Linked DNA regions of Saccharomyces cerevisiae S288C. The gene in region 2 interacts genetically with the main gene of each other region. Each region holds a gene or a part of one and is shown on either strand. Other genes may lie near its edges. The genes, in order: REG1, SNF1, IRA2 and NBP2.

What was found.
Region 1: of SNF1 (region 2) and REG1, changing one suppresses a phenotype caused by changing the other (phenotypic suppression), as found in Saccharomyces cerevisiae (12 studies listed by BioGRID, with this or other methods).
Region 3: mutations in SNF1 (region 2) and IRA2 together harm fitness more than expected from each alone (negative genetic interaction), as found in Saccharomyces cerevisiae (5 studies listed by BioGRID).
Region 4: mutations in SNF1 (region 2) and NBP2 together harm fitness more than expected from each alone (negative genetic interaction), as found in Saccharomyces cerevisiae (4 studies listed by BioGRID).

What each region holds. Positions count from the first base shown.
Region 1 is NC_001136.10:496,682-503,317, forward strand, and holds REG1 (protein phosphatase regulator REG1), read right to left. Parts: upstream 4,199-6,636; coding exon 1,154-4,198; downstream 1-1,153. Other genes in the region: VPS54 (Vps54p), read right to left, coding at 1-637; YDR029W (uncharacterized protein), read left to right, coding at 4,419-4,733; RAD28 (Rad28p), read right to left, coding at 5,072-6,592. UniProt on the Saccharomyces cerevisiae protein: Involved in RNA processing and negative regulation of glucose repression. Regulates the level of two antigens, P43 and P70. Binds to protein phosphatase type 1. Functions with REG2 and SNF1 protein kinase to regulate growth.
Region 2 is NC_001136.10:1,410,826-1,415,882, reverse strand, and holds SNF1 (AMP-activated serine/threonine-protein kinase catalytic subunit SNF1), read right to left. Parts: upstream 3,511-5,057; coding exon 1,609-3,510; downstream 1-1,608. Other genes in the region: PEX29 (Pex29p), read left to right, coding at 1-673; SNM1 (Snm1p), read right to left, coding at 712-1,308; YDR476C (uncharacterized protein), read left to right, coding at 4,756-5,057. UniProt on the Saccharomyces cerevisiae protein: Serine/threonine protein kinase essential for release from glucose repression.
Region 3 is NC_001147.6:169,152-175,177, reverse strand, and holds the start of IRA2 (Ras GTPase activating protein IRA2), read right to left. Parts: upstream 4,109-6,026; coding exon 1-4,108. Other genes in the region: ATG19 (Atg19p), read right to left, coding at 5,204-6,026. UniProt on the Saccharomyces cerevisiae protein: Inhibitory regulator of the Ras-cyclic AMP pathway. Stimulates the GTPase activity of Ras proteins.
Region 4 is NC_001136.10:778,996-782,890, forward strand, and holds NBP2 (adaptor protein NBP2), read right to left. Parts: upstream 2,106-3,895; coding exon 1,395-2,105; downstream 1-1,394. Other genes in the region: ACL4 (Acl4p), read left to right, coding at 48-1,211; U2-type spliceosomal complex subunit CWC15, read left to right, coding at 2,428-2,955; SEC1 (Sec1p), read right to left, coding at 3,046-3,895. UniProt on the Saccharomyces cerevisiae protein: Negatively regulates the high-osmolarity glycerol (HOG) pathway through its negative regulation of the HOG1 kinase activity. Mediates the binding between the PTC1 phosphatase and the PBS2 MAP/ERK kinase (MEK).

The DNA.
Region 1 (6,636 bases), 910 kb from region 2:
AGTCAGGTATACTATTTATTAGCTCGGCATCCCCTTGCCTCAGATTTGCTTCAAACGACTCCTCATGCATATTTTCCCCTTCTCGCAGTTCTTTTAACTGTTCCATCTGATTCATGTTTCTTATATTATTTGTGCTTTGAAATATTTGGTAATCACTTTTAATGTTTTTGACGTATTCGATAACATGAGTTTTCCAATGGTCATCCAGATCATTTTTGCTTAGGCTAACTTGTGGAATATCAGCAACAGTGGGGTAATTGAGCCAGTTTTTCCTCCTTGTGTTCATCACAATTTCATAGATGGAGTTATTTCCCAATGGCGAAAAGTCCATGGACCCACTATGTGTTTCATTTTCAAAACCGAATGATCTACTATTTGCAACAGATAGTGTCCTAGAATCAAAACTTCTTCGCGGCGTTATTGAATCCAGACTTAATCTCGAAGATCTTCTCGCTCTTGGTGTGACACTGCCAGATATACTTAACAAGTCGTCATTAAGGGAAGTATCACCCTCTATAGTAAAAGAGCCACTATCACTATTACGAGAAGGCGATCCCTCAGGAACAACAATTTTAGGACGACCAGCCGCTTTTTGCAGTCCCTGGCTTTTATTATGAGGTGTTTCGCTTATTGACATTGGCCAGATACCTCACCAAACCTTTAAATTGTTTTAATACTGCTTTAGGATATCAATACTGCCAATTACTGTAAGCTCTGCCTAAAACAAAGTTGTGCCTAAAACAAGCCGTGTCGTAGTTTGTTTTGTTTACTTTCTAGACTGTTGTGTGGTGTCTTCTTTATAAAGGAAAAACCCTTTAAAGATCGAAGAAAACATTGATTGTACTCTATCTGAAAATCATTACCCACGAACATATCTTAGATCAGCTGCGTTTAATTGCTAATATATAGAACACACATACGACTATGGAAGCTCAAGAAGTTCTTGTACATAAGTACCAAATATTGTAAAGGTATAAAGAAGTTTTGAAATCTGGAGCGAATTTAATTGTGTACGTAAAATAACTGCTTCGCTGTCTACATTTGTCCTTGACAATGCCAGTCGATTACAGCTTACTTGGATCCTAAAGACGGCACTGATCCACACTACCTGGATTTTTATTTTCTCTTCATGTTGACTTCAAAATTCTTTCTTCTAACTGCTGTCATTTCCATTTTCTTGTGGCTTGACGTCACTCTTTTTCCAAGAGTGCAAGTACTTGCTTGCCATACCTCTTGCATTCTGCACCACTTTGTGTAAGCTTTCATTACTCGAATCCGTCAAAGACGCTTCTTTTCTAGTGGTTTGCACGCTATCAACTTTCTTGTCCTTTAGCTTACTAGCATTATTTATATGGCAGTTTTCAAATCCTTTTGCCAAAGTGTCCATTTCTGAGTGATCTTGATGGTCCATCATATTTCCCCCGGAAACAACAGACTTGATAGATTCATTTCTAGGAGAGAAATAACCCTCTATGGCAACATCACTCGCCCCCACTTCGGCTGGTGAAGGAGTATTATTTACAATTCTAAAGCTTTGTGAACTATCGGACGCTTTTGGCTGCTTTGGAAGGGCTTTTTTCTTCTGAGATGATATGTTTGCTGGTGTCACACTGCCTTTCAATACGCTTCGATTAACCAGCTGACTGTTAGCGGGTAATGGTCTTTGTTCCTCCTCGCTGCTACTCTCTTCTTCACTATCTGAATTGAATATGAAGTTCCCTGAAGAGGAATTGCGCTTCAACGGATACGGCCTGACAGCCAGTTGTGCATCTTTGTCTACATCAGTTTTACCCCCTGTAAAATTAGTAGGATTTTTTTGTTGAGGAGTTGCCGAAGAGAGTGATGGTTGTGCTAGATCGTACAAAGAATTGGTAGATCCTGATTTCCCAAGTGACAATGTTCTCCTCAGTGAAAGTCCTTCATCGTGGTTATCGTCTACTTCTTGGTCATCGTCATCTTCTTCCTCTTCGTCGTCGCTACTATTGTATTGTGAGTCTTCAATAAATTGCTGTTCGCTATCTGATGAAGAGCTGTAATTGTCGTCGTCATATAATAACATATGCGATCCATGTTGACGTGTTGTATTATTTGCTGAAGCTTTGTGTAGTTGTGGAACATGTTTTTCCTTGGATTCTACCGCATTGTTAAATTCATAGTTTGATGCATTATCATCTGCAATGGCTGTTTGTAAGTCCATTCCTTCAGGAACATCTACAATGTCACATGAATCTACTGGTAAAAAACTGGAAGTATCACCAGTGTAGACCGAGTTATAATCGTATATGTAATCATAGCCTCTGGAGGTATTGACGTTATGTGACACAGCATTACCATACCCATTAAATTCGCCATTATCAGATTCTTCGTCTGATCCATAATTCAAAGTGGTATCAGGAAGCAACTTTATTATGGGACGTACATGAGCTCTGGAAGTAGTAGATGAAGCCACAGAGGAATTATCTGTTATTGGTGAATGAACTCCAGAGTCAGACCTCCTGGAAAATCTTGCATTTATGTAAAGGCCGCCGTGTTCTTCATCATCAGAATGTGATGAAGATGATGATTGTGAGGATGTATCATCGTCGCTAGTATTTTTGTTCAAATGTTCAGTTGCGGAGTTGATAGGAATAGATTTATGCTGAATGGCTAGCAATGGAGTCCTATTGTTGTTTATTGTTGTAACGTTCGCATTGTTATTAACATCAACATATTGTTTATTTTCATCATCGCTTTCATCATCCTCCGATTGTGAAGCTGGATATCGTAGTGCCATACATTGTTCCACCCTGTCATTAAAATGTATATGTCTATTTTTAGTAGGTTTGTTAGATTTTTCACTTGGGTTTGAGGTTAATATTGATGATAATCCCATGGAATTGTTTTCATTATCTCTATTGGAGGAAGATGTTGAGGAGGGGAACCTATTATTATCAGGAGAATTTAGGTTTTGATCCAAGTTAGCCTTACGATCATTGGTACTATTTTCTAGTATGCTTTTGTTTGATTGTGCCGTTGACCTATTGTTTTGAACATGAAGCGCTGACTTTAAATGCAGGTCTTCTTCTCCCTTGTCACCGCCACCATTTGAATTTTCTCCTACAGGATTCGGTATGGTAGAATTATCTTTTTTGTCAGAGTGTTGACTCTTCAAACTAACGCTACTGTTCGATTCTTTGGGATAATGGTAGTACTGGGCGTTAACTTGAGCGGCCAGAGCATCGAAATCGTCATGGACGTTTTTGTTGCCATTGGGATCCATTATTACCGAAGCATGTTTCATTTCTGTCATGTGTTTTCTTGCCTCATTCAGTTTCCATAAAGCGTTGTCCTCTATAATTTCTGTGACGGTTCTCTTCTTCAAAATTGGTTTCGGAGCAGCTGCGATCGACTTTGAATTTTTAGTGGGCATTGAAATTCTCTTGGAATTTTCATCATCCGAACCATATCCTCTTTCTAGATCATGTTCTTCTTCACTTTGGGCATTACCTTCAGAATCTCTTACAATAGGGCCATATAGCCAAGTCACATCAGAATCTTTTGACCAATTAACCACTTCAGGTGACACTGTTTTCAAGTTGTTTCTTGCTTTTGCCCATGTTCTCCATGAGGCATTTTCTAACCTAGCAGCATTTACTAGATCAACATCTCTTTTCTTTTTCTTTAGGATGATATATTTCCAAGAATTAGAAATTTCTGATTCTTTCCATTCATGTGACAGATAGTCAACATGTCTTTCTGGCTCTACCACTACGTCATTATCATCTTGTGGAATTAAGTAGCTATCATTATCCGCCGGCGGTGGAGAAACGGAGGTTGAGTGTTCCTGATAGCCGTCATCATAATCATCATCTGAAGAATTGCTTGAAGAATTATTAGATGAGTTGTCATAATATTCATTGTCGTTATCATATAAGTCGTCTGACCTTCCTAGCAATTTCTTGGTAGGGTCAATATATTCATCAAGAAGGCCCATTGATCTTGTTCTTTTAAGGTTGAAAGTTGATTTATGGAAATCATCATCATTTTTCGCTTGAACAGCCATCGATACTGAAGGCCCCATATCTTCGTCGTTGTCGTTATCGTTACCACTAATTTTGACATCACTTTTGCTATTACTTTCATGGCTCGCATTTCTATTTACATGCTCGTTTTCAATATCTTTCTTACCGGCGAAGTAATTTGCTAGATTTGTTGACATTTTTGGATTTTTCTTATCTCGTCTTCGTCAATATGCTTGCTTTAGGATTTATAATCTTCAAGGATATTATCTTTTCCCCCTTGCTTTGACTTTTCAACGTTCGTACAGAACACCAGGTGTGTGGTTATACGTATAACAGCCAAAAGCTAGCCCTCGTAAAACTAGTATACCAATTAGTTCTCTTTCAGGAGGTGGTGTTAAAAAAATAAGAGAGATAAAGATGAGCAAATATTATATCTTGATAGAGCTGATGAACGATAAAAAGAATACTAACTCTAGTTGTGATATTTTCTCTTTCTATTTAAATTTCAGCGATAACCCTTTCTCAAGCTTTCGTTTGAAATCGCGTCTCCTATATGGTATATTCTCCTGTTTTCTCCTTTTTTATTCCTTAAAAGACCTGATAGGGGTATTCAAACAAAAGTATTTATATTTGTCTATTCTTCTTTTATGGCTTCTTGTTCTCCTGTTCTGTCTTGCAAAAGGCTTGTCACACAATCTCAGGGCTGATTCCTTCCTTCAATATCCACTGTGAGTTTAAATGCAAACAAAAATAGAGTGAATAAAAAAAGCTTTCGGCCCGGAATTGGTTAACCCGACTTACCAATATTATGTCAGAAAAGAGGCTACAGCTGAAACTAAGGTGAGGTGGTAAGAAATGCTCTCTATTGAAAAGTATGCATGAAGTGGAGGATAAGAGGTGAAGCGGCTTGGTAAAATATACCTGCCAAGTCTGAGATGAAAGCATTTGTATATAGCTATTAGTTGTATATTCGTGTGTAGCGATATACGTTTCCGGGTAATACAAACCTACATTGGTTCAATTATAAGAGCCGCGAAGACTATTATCATATTCTATACGGCATTTATTACTTATGAACATTCAAAGATGGATCCGCCGTCGCTAACGGTGTTGTTGTTAGTTCCAAAGAACAATTTGAGGCCAACTGAATTCATTATATTTGTTTGCACAATCATGGAACTAAACTGACAATGCGAAGCCTGATTTTTTTTTACCTGATTAACCATTGGGTATTCGAGCTTGTTCCAAAGTTTTTTTTCCTCCGTATTGTATATTTCTACTTCACCATTGTCAGTAATACACAGTAAAAACTTGTCAAACCAAAGCAACCTTCGAGATACTCTTTTTTTGTATTTGATACGGCTCAGGTCTTGTGTTCCCAACTGGGAATAACTAGCTAGACCTTCTGGTTGCAGAATTTCCGTAAATGGCCTCCAAACATTCAGTTTTCCATCCATGCCGACTGAACATAGCTCTGAACCCTCACTATTCCAAACAATGTCACTGCAACATCTCAGATGGGCTTTTGATTGGTTAGAGCTGAAATAGACATCGCTTTGATCGTCATTATCATCGTTATTTATAGTCTTGAACCTATTTTTATTTCTTTTCAATTCTGAATACAGTCTGTTCCTCATTCTTAGATCCCATAATTTTACCCCACCCTCCATGTCACCACAAGCAATAATCTGTTCCCTGACGGGGTTAAATTTGCAGCATAAAATTTCTGATTGCATTCGTGTTTGATTTCCCATTCCAAGCGCAGTTACCCCTGAATTCATGGTTCTCAGGTCAATTAATCTTGGATAGTAGTCTTCACTTGCCACTACAAGCAAAGAACTGTCGTCGACAACGTTATTATCAATTTGATTTATTTTATACCCCAGGTTTATATCTTGAACCGCTTCAAACCTGTTTGTGTCCCATATTTTTACAGTTTTATCATTTGAGCCAGTAAAAAACATCCCATTATCAGCCTTATACCACTTCAAAGTTGTTATACCATATTTATGGTGAGATATGGAAGCTTCTGAATCTGTTTCAGATAGTGTCTCACTAAACCCGATAGGAGAATCCGTTTTATTTGATATGTGTGATCTTTGAACTGGAACTGCAGCACTAGACTGTCTATACATTCGATATTTGTTTCTCTGTGTTTGAAAACTGTGCACCAGTCTCATAGTGTTGTTGTCGTTTATTCGTGTTCTTTTATTTTTATAACCCATTATTTGAGCAGGCTCATCATCTGATTGGTGAGGCTGTCGCTTGATATAGTTTAGCCTTTTATTGATCAATTCCTGTTCACCTTCATCATTGCGGTGCAATGATTCATCTAAACCCCAAATGGAAAGTGACCCATCATCTCCACCTCCTAATAACACTTGACCAGTATCATCAATATCAAGACAGTTAACACCTATACTTAACGGTGTTTTTTCTTTTGTACTATAGTTTGATTGTTTACTAAATCTGTAGTTTTTCATATTTGATAGGGGATCTTCAAGGATCCTCTCAAATTCGCTTTGAATAGTTCTTCTATAAAATTCATTTAATGAGATATTGCCTACTCTGAACTCTAAAAATGGATCCATTGACCTGTACTTACGTCCCAGAACGAGAAAGAGATAAAATTTTA
Region 2 (5,057 bases):
GACTATAAGTACTAATCTGGAATCTAAGATTTTGCAGCATTTGAAACTCATTGAGGCTAGGGAGCACCGACTTGTTATGATCTTTGAGATCCAAAAGTATCTTCCTGAATACAAAGAATGGCGCCCAGTTGGATTCTCTGATGACGATTATTCTCTTTTCTCTAGTTTGAGAATATACCAGAGGCGTATTGAGGAAAATTCAGTGAAGTCATTAGAAGAAATTGAGCCACCTAAGGATTGGGAATGGGAAGCCAATTCTCATTGGGTGCTTGATTTGGATCCAAAAGAATGGGTAGAGGACGAATTTATTCAGTATGTCGAGATAGATTCAGAAACAAAATGGGTCTATGACCTCAATCTTGATGGACAAAGGGGCTCATATAGAAGGCGAATGTGGACCAACAGTTGCGTGCGGAAAAAACTGGATTCTGGTATTTCTTCAAACCTTGGTGAGGAGGAAGTAGTTAATCCATTGAGGGAAGAAACATATAGGCAAGGCGTACATGGCGTGACGAAGGGTTCAATGAGTGGCGGTCTAACTCACAGTAGTGATGATGACCGCGCTGATGAGGAAAGTATAAACGGTACTATTCCTAATCTCAACAATATCGACGCGGATGCATCTTATCCGTCAATCGAAGAGCTAACAGACACTCTCAATTCAACTATATAAACTTGATTTGTTATACTATATGTTCACTGATGATACAGTCAACTTTTCATAAAACTTTCTAATGACAGTGACGAACTTTTCTTCTTTTCCATTTTTTTCTCTTGATTTCTTTTCGATAAAAGGTTTGTAAGTGAGTTCAACTTTCTCTTCTTGGATCTCTCCTTACCAGTACTAGTTTTACTCTTTTGGGGCTTCTTTACCGCGTACGAAACCTTCCCGCTGCTGGTACTATTGATCATCGGACTAACATCTTGTCCAAATGTTGGAACAACGAACTCAGATTTCCACTCAAACAATTTAGACTTTTCACAATTCAAGCAATTAACCTGGATACATTTTTTTGGTCCTTCCATACTCTCGCCGCCAAGTTCGTCGGAGTCACCTTGCTCGGTATTAGTCGTTAACTGAAGACTTGCGTTAAAATTAGGAACGTAAACACACCCGCAATGGGAGCAAAATTTCCCACTTTTCAGTTGTTCTGGCAGCATGATTTGATATCGCTTCACAGAATTATGAAAATTTTTATAGTATAGTCCCGATAACGCTCTGGAATTCAGTGTTGGCAGTACATGTAGTAGGTTGTATTTTTGTCGCAGACTCCGTTCTTGATATTTTTCTGCCTGGTCTTTATTCATTTTTGGGATCCTTTTGTTGTACGATTGTCAAAGGTTCAGTATTTTTATTGTAGCCACTAGTAGTACTCATCTCTATTTTCACATAGAATAGCGTTTTCAATTTTTCTCATAGAGCGTGAAATTTGCTTTTCATCCGAAGAAATAATGCCAATAAAAGAACATTCACATCAATAAATTATGTTCAGGTTTATTTAATCAAGATTGTTTACTTTATACAAAGGGATATTATAAAGATGTTGCAAATACGTTACGATACATAAAAAAAAGGGAACTTCCATATCATTCTTTTACGTTCCACCATCAATTGCTTTGACTGTTAACGGCTAATTCCATAATTAGTTTTGTTGTTAAATGTAAAAATGGGTAGGCTGAAAAAGTACTCATTTCATCTTCAGAAATATTAGAAACAGTAGTATCATCTCCATAACTACTTTCCCAGCCGTCAAATTTGAAATCCACCAAATAATTATTGGTTTCAATTTGAAATAATTGAATTACCATTTTCATTAAATCAGGTATTTTTTCATTAGTGTTTGTCTTGTTTCCAATATCATATTTCCACCTTAATTTGATAGTCCATAAATCCTCTTCAGATGGCTTGGCCCATTCGGCACCCAAATTCTTCAAGGCAATATAAATTTCACCCATAACGTCTAATGGATATGAGCGAGATCGTATACCAAAATGCCATCTCGTTTTAGATTTTTTCGTTACAAGAGGAGATATTTTAGAGGCAGCTGGCGAACCTTGTGCTAACATATTAGCTCTGTGGATCTGAGGTAAAGATGTAGGCAAAATGGAAACTGTAGAGTCTTCTTCTTTATACTGATCCATGAAGGGTGATTGGTGATATGTCCTTTGTTGAGTGATAGCACTTGCCATCCTTCTTGCGTGTTGCTTGGCAGTTTCATGATCTACTTGACTCTTTTGATGGGATTTGCTTTGTTGTTGAAAAGTTGGAGGTGACTGGGACAGAAAGGTATCCAGTTCATCACTGACGCTTTTGTTTGCCTTCATATCCTTGATCAAAGATTTATTCTCCTTAATCAACATGTACGCGTCCCTAATTTCGTTGAATGCAGGAGTGTCTTCTGATGATTCTAAGGACTCATAAATCTCGTCTTTTTCGTAACCCATGGTCGATGATAAAATATTGACAAGGTTGTCATCAATTTCATCGTTATCTGGGCTGCTGCCATCCTTTTTTGAGTCATTATTTTCATTCTCTTCTTCTGGGTGTGGTTTCAAATCTGGTGGAAGTAGATATTCTGGCAGGTCAACTTTGAACCAATCGTCTTGCATAATTTCATGAATGCTTATTCTGTTCAATGGATTAACGATTAACATTCTTTTGATTAGCCCAGCAGCTCCAGGAGATAAAAATTTAGGCAAGGTGTAAACACCGTTGCTGATATTCTTGAAAAGCACTGGGATGCTTTCATCGTCAAACGGTAGACGACGACAAAGCATAACATAAAGGATAACCCCACATGACCACACGTCCACTTCTGGGCCTGCGTACAGCTTACCGCTGATAACTTCAGGAGCCGCATAATTGGGAGAACCACAAGAAGTCTTTAAGAAATTACCATCAGTCATGATGTTTGACAAACCAAAATCGGCAATCTTTACATTCAGATGCTCATCTAGTAGTAAGTTTTCAGGCTTCAGATCTCTATGGACAATTTTGTGCCTATGGCAGTACTCGACGGCACTGATGATCTGCTGGAAAAATCTTCTTGCCTCTTGCTCGCTCATTTTGTCTCTCTGAACAATATAGTCAAACAATTCGTTCCCGGCGTACTCTATAACCATAATGATTTCATCTTTGGATTTGATAACATCATACAGTTTGATGATGTGGGGGTGTCTTAAGAGTCTCAGATAAGATATTTCTCTTTCAATTCTGCCCTGCATATCACTCTTTGCCAAAACCTTCTTATTAATGATTTTTAGAGCAACTTTTTGGCCCGTAGTGGTATGATATGCCAATTTAACTTTACCAAAGGACCCCTCTCCCAGCGTTTTGACGATTTGGTAGTTCCCGATATGTGCACCATCCGCTAAGGACGACTTGGGATTGTTTAGCGTCGAGTTGCTTCCGCCATGACCGTGATGGTGGTGGTGATGGTGGTGATGGTGGTGGTGGTGGCTAGAATTTGCATTGGCAGGTGCTGTGTTTGTGTTGTTGTTACTGCTCATGTTGACTTTATTAAGGGAGTGTAGCAAAACTTGTTACAAAAAAAAACTTCTATTTCTTTCGCTATGATTATTGAAACAGCCTCTATATATTATCAAAAGCCAATGACACTGAAACAATTTCTATTGTCGTGCTTTTTTTTTTTTTTTCAGGCTTCAATCTATTGTTTATCGTTATACTTCCTGAATGACTGTTTGGACACGAATGCGCAGTAAGAGGAAATGTGAAAAAAGAATATTTCGATAAATGAAAGTTCTGGTAACAAGCCTACAGTACTAAGCCCAAAGCTATGTCTTGGCCCCTATAACGCTACCTGTTGATGTGCCATACTCTTACCAACTTTCTTTTACGTTAAAAATTTCCATCCCCTTCCGCTACGAGAAAAACTGCAGAGGGTAACTATGACATGTACTTTCTAATATGGGCCTATAAGGACTATATACATATGACTAACATTGAGTAAAACCAGGTCTCGAGTCCCATCATCACGCCCATCCTTTTGCATCCACGCCGCCACGCAATTCCTCTTTTTTTGAAGTTACTTGCGTCATGTGGGACATCATATGGGACATCATAGCCTGCAAGATCGAGAGTTAAATATACGACTAAAAGAAATAGTAGCACACTGCCATTTCCAGCTTTTAGTCCCTTGGGGAAGGTTCAGCATTTGATAGCAAATGATTGTACAGTTTATAACCGTATCTAAACGTACGGACATGTTTTTTCCTAGGGCCTCTATTAAAAAAATCTTTGAAATTTCCCTTCAATGCCACCCTTTTTTGCCAGGCATTGGTGGCCATGATTTGTTATGGCTTCCAAGAAAAGGTTTTACTACAGACGCCTTTACTACAGAAGATGCCTCTTCCTATCGTGATTTGCCCTCCAGACAAAAGCCGCGGACATAACGATGGCGGATTGCATTAGACAATGATTGCTATACGGAGGCGAAAGAGATAGCTAGCGACTTCTTAAAGGCGACATTGCTCCGCTACAAACGTGGTGGAGTTTTAACCCTACGAATTCAGTTACAAGGTTGAAGTTAGTGAGCAGCTTCTGTTCTGCCGTTTCTTGCGCAGTCTTGAACTTTCTTGGTCTTGCCATGTGGTCGGGATATTCTGTTCGTTTATAATTACTCCTTGCCACAAAGTGCACACCTATTTGGATATGGTATATATAAAGAGTGGAGGCTTATATCGGCGAGAGCGTGCGTTCTATCAACTCAAGCAAGTATACGGGTATACACAAGTATGTGGGATTCGTTAATTGTAAGCATCAACGATACGCACAAGTTGGGGCTGGAGGATTGTCTCGCCGTTTTTGGCCACGTTCCCATTACCAAGGCCGTCAAGCATGTCAGACTGACAGAGATCGACACGCAGACGTCCACGTTTACGCTCAAGTTCCTTCACACAGAAACGGGTCAGAACATCGAGAAGATTATCTACTTCATTGACAATGACACGGGCAACGATACCCGCACTGCTACCGGAATCAAGCAAATCTTCAACAAGATGTTCCGCATCGCTGCGGAGAAGAGGAAGCTGTCGCT
Region 3 (6,026 bases), on a different chromosome or scaffold from region 2:
GATAGTTTAACCATTGGCATTGTTTTGAGATAAAAGAGTCTATATTTTTTTTCAATTCTGAAACGGTGTCGAGTAGGTATGGATACATTTCTTGCAATATCTTTTTATTGATGAATAGGATACCCGACAAAGAGGCTAAAATACCCGCGAAATTTCTGAAGTCGTTCCGTTCTTGTTTTTCTAAACTTTTACTGTGTGTGTAAGTATGCCACTTCTTATAGATCATCCTCATAGAATCAAGTAAGATAGCGTTAGGAATAGTAGCAAATCGTAAAATATTATTTCTTGTCCTCCTTTGGAAAGCAATTGAACCAGAAGTTGTGTAGTTGTCATGACACATCGCTTCTACAAACTCAATATTATGAACCCAAGTTTTATCAGCATCATCAATATTCCTCTCATGAAAATTGATTGCAGAAAGATACTCTGTGTAAGCAATCTTTAAAGTCTTTTCAATTTTTTGTTGACTAGAGTATAATGAAACAAATAGGGCCCTACCAACAGTCCCCATAATCAGCGGAAAGGTGAGTTTTTCAGAATCACTTATGTATTCCATGTGGTGTGAGGCCTCCGCGATCCCTGCTAAATGTGATCTAACCTTCATAAACTTGACAGTTATATCCAAGAGAATTTGACGCTTTTCATTATTAATTTTCAAATCGAAAAGGCCCATTGCAAATAATGTTACAGTGTAACTGCAAAGAAGATGATACCCTTCAATACTGATATTCTCATCTGATTCACCATAAGTAATAACATTCGATAATAAGGTATCCATGAATGATTGAGCAGTATTCTGTAAATCTACATCCGGACTTACGATGGCGACGAAAATCGGTTTCATAATATTTCTAAAATCCTGCGAAACCCATTGTAAATTCGAGTTTATATTGTGAGGAATGATGAAGTAACTATTCGGTCTCTTAAAAATACTGAAAATATTAATCATTATTCTTCTAGCATCTTGAAGAGTTGCTTCATTCAAATCTTTTGGTATCAAATGTTCTTGAATGTAATTATTTGTTGATTTCATGAATTTTCCTAAACTTTCATCGGAATAACGCCTCGTTCTTATTTTCTGCAAAGGCGATCGAATTCCGAATGCTGCCGACGATAATGGAGTAGAATTTGTTATGGCCATTGGTGTGGCACTGATGCTTTCCGTTTGCGGACGTTGTACTGGTGAAGATTTTTCCGTTCCTGGAGGTGAAGTCAATGTAGTCGGTATTTTATTCCTTATAATACTAGATGGCCCACCTAAAGCATGACGCGCTCTTGGGGCCACAAGATGTGACAAGTATGGATCAGAAGACAAGTTCTTTGGTGAACTGTTTAATGAATTAACGTTGTCAGAATTTCTTGAAGTACTTGAACCAACTAAAGACAGGGTGTTCATTGGACATATATCAGTATCCAGTCCCAGCGGAGAAACTGGTGTCATTGAACTTTGAGATGTAGATCCTGATCTTGACCGGGTTGTCGAACATAAAGAGGGTGAGCTCCCCTTGAAATGTTTCTTCGTACCATACTCATTGATAATTGTACCGTCAAGAATGGAAGCAACTATGTCGGTGATTTGCTCATCAAAATACGGAAATTCTTGTAAAAGAATATCTGCTATAATGGAGAATAATGTTTTGAAAAATTTAGAAATTTTAACCGCAATTGCCTTCCGCAATTCCTTCTTACTTGGTATGTCGAAGAATATCCTGAATCCTTCAGTATAAAGGCATAGCTTCTGCATGTTTAAATTGTTGGCCATTGTATCGATGCTCAGACGTGCCAGTAATAATTCATGATCGAATTGAATAGCTGAAGAGAAGAATATTAATTGTAATTGAACAAACGTGGTGGAGTTTTTTTTCAAACAAACCATCAAACTGTTATTTATTTTTGAATTCCAGTCTTGACCGACGCTTAAATTTGTCCCCATTATGGGGATGAGTCTCTTGGCAAAAAGTACTGAGGGTAAGTTTCTATCCACGAGAAAGACCGCAGAAGTCATTGTAAAGAATGATAGTAAGGCCCTCATTGTATCTAAGAGGGCAACATCTGATACAGCTTGATTCCCATTTAAATTTCTTAGCAACATCTTCACAAATTTTACAGTTTTTTTGGTTGAGGAAGGTAAAGAAGTTAATTTCTTTAAGCCTTGTGTAATATGTTTTATACCCGAAGTCTTTTCGGAACCTGTCTCGTGTGCAGTATTATTGAAAGAACTTGTTCTTTCTTTTGGACGATGCATAGTACAATCAGGAATATATTTGAATGATGTAGCGTTTAATTCATTAAAAAGGTCAATATCGAACATTGTCAAAGTAGTTAAAAACTTCAGTACGGATGTGTGTGGTAGTACCTCAGTATCATCAAAGTGCGTGTATAACTCCAAAACATTATCCAAACGAGTGACAGACAAAAAATGTTCGTCATAATCCTTACCAGTATGGCCAGTTTTGTGTGCATCGTATGAAGCGCGACTTTGTTGCTCTGCTGTGTATCCAGTTGGGGTGGAATTCGATGGTGAAGCAGCTGCGGCGGCGGCTGCAGCTGCTGAGTTCAACCGCTGTTGCAATTGTGTTGTTGGAGTTGGAGTTTGAGATAATAATGAAGATGCACTAATAGTGATGTTAGACATCGTGGGAGTATCTGGTAAGGAAGGGTCATATTCTCCTGGTTGAGTGTGAGTAGAGAAATCAGTTGTTGTTGAATTAGACGTTGAAGATGACAGTGAAGTAGAGGATTGAGAGTTTGTAGTCCATGAAGAATGTAGTTTTCTTTCAGACTGCTGTTGAATGTATGACTGGTGGTGAGAAAGCTGACGACTTAAGGATTTTGCTATTATGTTTTGATTGTTGTTATCCGATGATGATGAGCTAGGTGGTGACGATGGCGAGGAGGACGAAGGGGAAGATGAGCCTTGATGAGCATTTTGATTGGTGGTTATCATGCTATTCACATTAAAAGTCGAATGGATCTCCTCGAAAAGTGTATGGTTTAACGTGTTTAAGGATTTCGAGTGTTCATTGTTATTATCTTTTAATAAGTTGAAGAGTTCATAATATTCCGCAGGCCTAGCCATTATCCAAAACATTATTGCTTTGGCGCTGTAATGCAAAAGTAGGCAATGATAAATCGTTTTCCTTAACGTCACCGATAAGTTTTTGATGAGTTCCAAGTATTTCTTAAAATTATGCTTGCTTAAATAGATGAAGCTGAAAAGATCAAAGTGGGGCACTATGCTGTTATAAACGGAAGATGGCAAAGAGTGTGAATGGGAGTGTGAATGCGTGTGTGTCTGTGTTACGGGCACTTGCACACTCTTTCTGATAAATTCAAAATACTCGGACGGATTGGAAGCCGCTACAAATCGGAGAATATGGCCTAGAGTAGAGTCAATCATTTTACAATGAGAAGGATGGTTGTGCCTTGTCAGATAGGATTTGTGGCGGGGAAGAATCGAGGAACTCAAAGTCGTTAGAATGTTTCCATGAACATGACTGATCATATTTTGTAAAATTTGCAAAGTTCTTGTATTGAACTTCAACTTCGCGCAACTCTCAAGCAATTTCGATGCCAGTTCCGGTATCAGTGCCTGAGGTTTGCTCTGGTGGAAAAAGTGTTTGTTGCCATTGGAATGAGTCGACGAGTAGTCGGGCAGAATACTGTTAAGCTTTGGTCTGTACTTCTGTTCTTGGTCATGTTCTACGTGAGTCGAAATGTCGTTGTAATGAAGGCTTTCTTGATTTTGCCAATTATACTCTAGCGCATCACTTAACAATCTTAGTATAATCAGTATTGATTCAATAACGTCACTGCTACCCTTATCTGAAATGATTTCGTGCCCTTGAAGAAGCGATTCTATCAACTCCAAGGTGCCTTCCACCATAGCATTTGCATCTCGGGAAACGGTAACGTTAATGAGCACAGATCTGCATGAAATGAATGAGGAATACTCTTCCACTTCCGAATAGGTACTTAGATTAGACTCCACCGGAAGGATCGGGAGAATTCTTTCAAAAAGAATATGATTAACCAACGTCCGAGTCATGCGGGATGACTTGGAATCGGTCCCGTGTTCTTTCTTCTTATTCTTAGTGGGCTGGGACATGCTTCTCCCTGAAGAAAGATAATGTATACAGTTTAGTTGATATCAAAAAATGGTGTAACGTTGGGGGAAAAGTAACACTAAAGGAGAAAAGCAAAACGAATAACAGAGGACAATGCTATATGCTAGTGTGCTAAAATGTGGTTAAATGTTTGCTACAATTGGTGAAAAAGTACTTAAGCCTTGTTCTGATTTTGTTTTCGCTTTTTCGGTCTTTTGTTTCCCAGGAGCTCTAGACAATGAAGTAAGCGGAGAGAATGTAGGGCAATAGGATGTGCTTAACTCCCCGGTTATATGTAGAATAGATAATCGTTGGGCAAAACTTTTCACAAGAAGACACAGCAAAGCTTGGGGTTTTCAAAAAGGCGTGCGAGCTTTATTGTGATGGAAATTTTCGTTTCATCAAGGGAGCGTTCTAGAAGAAACGAGAGCTCTACGAACATTTCTGCGCCGCGGATTGATTCACCGATCGGGTGACCCTTTTTGAGGAGCTACTTTGGGTTGGAATCACACTAAAATGTGTAAGGCGGTCAGTATAGCAAAGAACTTGGGGTGGGACGCTGGTGCCGTGCAAGAAAGGCTACGTGAACCTCGTACTAGTCCAAGATATTGGCTCGATGCATTAATGGCAGACTCTTATCTCGCTAAGATGTTTGAAGGCACATCGGTTCTAGAGGTCCAAGTCCCAACCCAAGTCAAGGCCAAGCAAGGCAAGGGGATTTAGAATAGTTCTATCATTCTGCGGGGAATGAGCGGAAGAGTAAGAGTATTGGTTCTGTTGTGGATGACACTTACAAGGGTAACTACTGTTTTTCTTGTTTTCTTATTTTCTTGTTTCCCTGCTTTTCTCTGGGATCTGTGCGGAAGGCGTCATGTCCCTGCTCGTCCCTGATTGTCCGTACTTTTCTGGTTAGCCGTATATCGTTTGAAAGTAGATGGCATGTATGAAGAGCATGATGCTAGGTGATAAGTAATGAGAGGCCTTAGGAAGTAAAGAGTTTCGAAAAGGGTTATTTTATATTTATTGTATTTATTATATTTAATATATTTATGTGTATGTGAAAAGGTACTCATTGCTGTATAAAAATAGAGTTTGACCTAGAGTTCTTCCCAAGTCAGGGCTTTTTCATTGTCGTCACCGTCATAAGAGAGTGAAATGGATGTACTGATGATACTAGAGTCATCCAGTTCTGGTAACGTATCGATTTGAAAGGAGTAAAATGGCTCTTGGGATGCCTGTAAACTTTCTGCAGATAATCTTGAAGGTGGCCTTAAGTTAATCATTGGAGAAGAGCCATACTTGCCCAAGAAGATCACTTCTCCATACTGATTTTCAATCTCGATAGTGGAGCCGGCCTCTAAATCAAGTGCGTATGGAAAGTATCGGTATTCCTTGTACTCCTTTATTCCTATTTCATGAGGACCCATGTCAATAATTTGCGTGGTTGGCTTATCGCCAGCGTCAGTAAACTTCAGTTTGCAGTTGCCTGCCAAAACAGAGTTTGTGTTGTTAAACAACTGGAAATACAATGAATTGTCCCTTTGGTTCATTGTGATTTGCAATGAGCGCTCATTTGGGGGTTCCACTTCTATTTTAGTTTCCTTTTTCGAATGGTCAGAGGCGATTTCCGTCTTACTGTCACATTCTTGTGATAACCTCTCATAGTCATGGTAACGTTGAAAAACGTCCTCAAGTTGTTTGACTGTTTTCAACTCTGTGAAAAAGTTCACTAGTTCGGACCTATCTTCTGGTATGTCAATCGTACCGCTTATTCTGTGGTTAGGTTCTTTATTTGTGACCTTTTGCTCCAATTCCAACTTATTTAACGATTCTTCCAACTTAAGGAGTTGTTTCATGAAGTTATCCAAGCATTCTCTTGACACAACCACATTAGAGGTGGAATTAGGGCTTATCTCTTCT
Region 4 (3,895 bases), 630 kb from region 2:
GAACTTATACCTAAAAGCATCTTCAGGCTGAGGATTAAAAAAGGAATATGAGTGAACTTGAAGCCACAATTAGGCAAGCCAAAGAAGCCCTGGCTGAAAATAATGCCAAAAAGGCGCTCAAAATATTGAAGCCGTTCAAAAGTTCACTGAAAAAAGAAAACGCAAACAATGTAATACTGAATGAAGTGTTTGCCGATGCATACCTGGATAATGGACAGGTAGAGAAAGCCTACCCAATTTTAGCGCGTGCTTGCGAATTAGATCCTGAGGGACAAGTTGGCGGACCGGACAAATTTTTTACCATGGGTCAAATCATGGGTGGACAGGATGGTGTATCGATAATAACTCGCGGAATAATGAACATCTCTAATACTGGAGGTGAAATGTTAACCAACGTTCAGGTTGAAAAGATTGTAGGTGGACTGCTTTCTGTGATTGAAATTTGGATGACGGATTTATGTATGGAGCCAAATGCAGAAGAGCAGTGTGAGGAGTTAATACAAAAGGCGATGGAACTCACAGAGGGAAAATCTCCTGAAACATGGTCTACCCTGGGTTCTATCAAAATCTCGCAACAAAAATTTGGAGAAGCTTATGAAGCATTCTCACAAGCCTGGAATTTCTTTGAGTTGAAAAAACAAGAAATTGGTAGCGGTATAAATGAAAATGGTGACACAACTCAGAAAGCTGGTTTACAGTCAGAGTATGTAGATCTTTTACAACCTCTTTTATCTTTAACAAAGATGTGCCTCGAAGTGGGAGCTTACGAAGTCGCATTGAAAGTTATTGCCGCAGTAAGAGATATAGATGAGGATAACATAGAGGGTTATTATCTAGAGGGTTTTACTTATTATTTAATGAGTAAATTAGAAATTTTCAAGTTGAACAATCCCGAAGTAAGCCTGCGTCCGGAAAATATATACGAGTTTAACCAACTCATTCAAGAAGTTCCTTTGGATTTATCCCACGAACCAATCTCCCAGTTAATCTATGACTCAAGATTAGCGCTAAGTTTTGCATTGCAAGCAGGTGTCAATGCTGACAGCAAAGATGAAATTGTGCAAGAATTATTGGGCGGTGCTAATGCTTTACTCCAAGAAATTGGTGGTCCTCTAGATCCAAGTGAGTTAACACAAATCAAGAAGGGTGATTTAGTGAATGAGAATGAAGACTTGGAAGAGTTGGACATAGAGGAAGAATATTCTGACTAATAGTCTTCTAATTTAACATATGCATAAGTACATACACTGATATATATGTATATATCCGTAAGAAACGGAAATTATGACATAGAACAGATGGAAGAAGATTCGGCCAGGCATACCGCCAGGGTGGTGACCTCTTTATCTGTTTTTAGTGAGTATTTTACTGTCATAACCAATTGGAATTTGTATTCAATCCGATATATCTAATTTTGTTTTCATATCTGCTTCGACCTCCGCAACATCATCAATATCTTCCCATTCATCGTTGTCGTCGTATTCATCTTCGTTAGTGTTATCAATATTGTTTTTAGGACTAACGCTCTGTGTAATCAAATGTGTCAAATAGAAAGGTCGAGCCTTATTCTCCACCTCGTTCTCACCATCTTCCGGCTGTATATAAGAGACAAACTCCTCCGGTACCAACCCTGTTTTTGATCCTGACTCATTTTCTGCTACTAGCCAACCTTGCCCATGCTTGTAACTGATAAATACGATGTCACCCTCAGCCAATCTCAATTCATTATCATTTTCGGGTTCGAAATCGTAGAGGGCAACAGCACGTTGGTTAACTATGTAGTCGTCTGGTAGTGTTATACTTTGTCTTTTATTGTATGTGTCTTCTCCATTTGAAGAATCTGAAACCATTTCATCCTCCTCATTGTCTCCATCAAAATAACCATAATGGAGAGGATTCGAATCTGCGTACGCATAATCTTTGATTGATATATAACCTATTGTGGTTGTTTCTGTATCTTCCATTGTGTCACTATTTCCTGCCTGCACTGCCTCCACCTCTCTCCCGTTCTGTAATACTGCCTCATTGAGAACACCTATAGTTTTTTTGAGACCAGATTTCAAAATATTGGTATCTTTTTGTGTGGTCGTTTCCATCGTTGCCATCGTAGATTCAATAAATATGTCAGTGGAAGTTAAAGTAAGGTAAAGTTGAGAAAAATACTTAAAATTTGTTAGTATCTATCACGTTTTATTGGTAGCTGTTATTATGTGTGATTGAGCGTGTTGTTACTGTGCACTGTGTTGCATTGTCCATTACAAGCTACTTCTGAAGTGAATTCTCCATTTCTCGCAACTGGAAAAATAAGTTGGTGTGACTAAAAATAATAGTCTATCTCTTCACGAAAAGGAAATAGGAATGACAAAGCTCCAAAAGGCTCCATAAAGAACTTGCTCAGAGGCTGGCATTTGAAAGGGCTACAAGACCATGACCACATCACACAGACCACAGTTAGAAGCAAGAAGCGGTGCAAAAGCGGCCGCTTATACACCAACAGGCATCGAGCATGCCAGATTACTACCAGGACATACAACATTAAAATACAGGAAATTTAAAGAGGAGGAAAATCTTAGAGCAAACTGTGCGCAAGAAGATAGGAGCAACGATAAATCTTTAGAGGAGGCAGTAATGAACGAAGAGAAACAGGATGTTGTGGGGAGTGGGAACCTCCAAGAAACCCGCAGTGAGAAAGACCAAAAAGACTCGTTGCAAGAGCTGCTGGTTACTCAAAAAAATAAAGTGGAAGATAAAGCAGAGCTTGAAGGAAATGAACAATTAAAGGGAGGAAATTCGTCTAGGCGATCGTGGAGAAAGGGCACGGCGTTTGGACGCCATAAAGTAACCAAAGAGACAAATATTAAGGAACATGCAACAAAAAAATCAGCGTCCGGATACATTAACGATATGACAAAATCTGAATATCATCAAGAATTTCTCCATAAGCATGTTAGATAGTACATAGGAACGATACATAAATAGTACGTTTATATCTTTTTTTTTTGACAAGAGCAAGTGATTTTTTTTATCACTGTCTTCTTTAAGGGATCATTTATCATGGTGAGATTTTCTTTTCAAGAACCTCGAGAATTTGCTACGTTTCTTCTCTTTTTCGGGTGGTTCTGACTTGAGAGAACCTGCTGCTTTGGGACTAGAAGTACCAGACTTAGGACTATTGTCTTGGCTTTTTAAATGAACATGAGAGACTGGTTGTGCCACCGGTTTCATTTCCCTTAGAAGGAAATCAGGCGGGTTTACTTGCTGGCGCTGATCTTCCTTGAATTTGAAAAATTCTCTAGGATTTTGTAAACGTTCCACTTCATCTAAGAATTTTGTTGGTGTTAATATCTCGTCGCTGCCAATAAAGATATCTCTGTTCTTCAAGTTTGATTGATCATAAGCAGCTTTAATTTCGGGAATTGATATACCACCAATAACATAGTAGAAGAATCTTTGTCTAGGTATGTTTTTTTTTATATTAGAGCTTTTCGTGGTCCAAGCTGCCTTGTGACGGGGATTCCTTAAGGATGAGGAGGAGTTAGCAGAGGTATTCGCTAAGCCTGCTTGGAATTCTTCTTCATTCAATAACTCAATTGGCTTGTCCTTTAAATATGGGAAGTATTGTTCGCTCAATAACAATGGATTCGCTATAACCTTTGAAAGAATATTCCCTACAGCGGGAACGAACCTTGAAGTGTGATAGATATTTGGATCATTCACTAAAGTATCATGAAACCATTCCTTTTGAAATGGTTTATCCTTCGGTTTGTCTTTGATCAATTTGAAATCAATTAAATCGTAATTTCTGAATATTTTTAAATATTGCTGGAAATTTTCATGTTCATGAGTAACTCCTATAAAGTTCAATAATTTAATGAAGTCTAACTCGATAATTCCA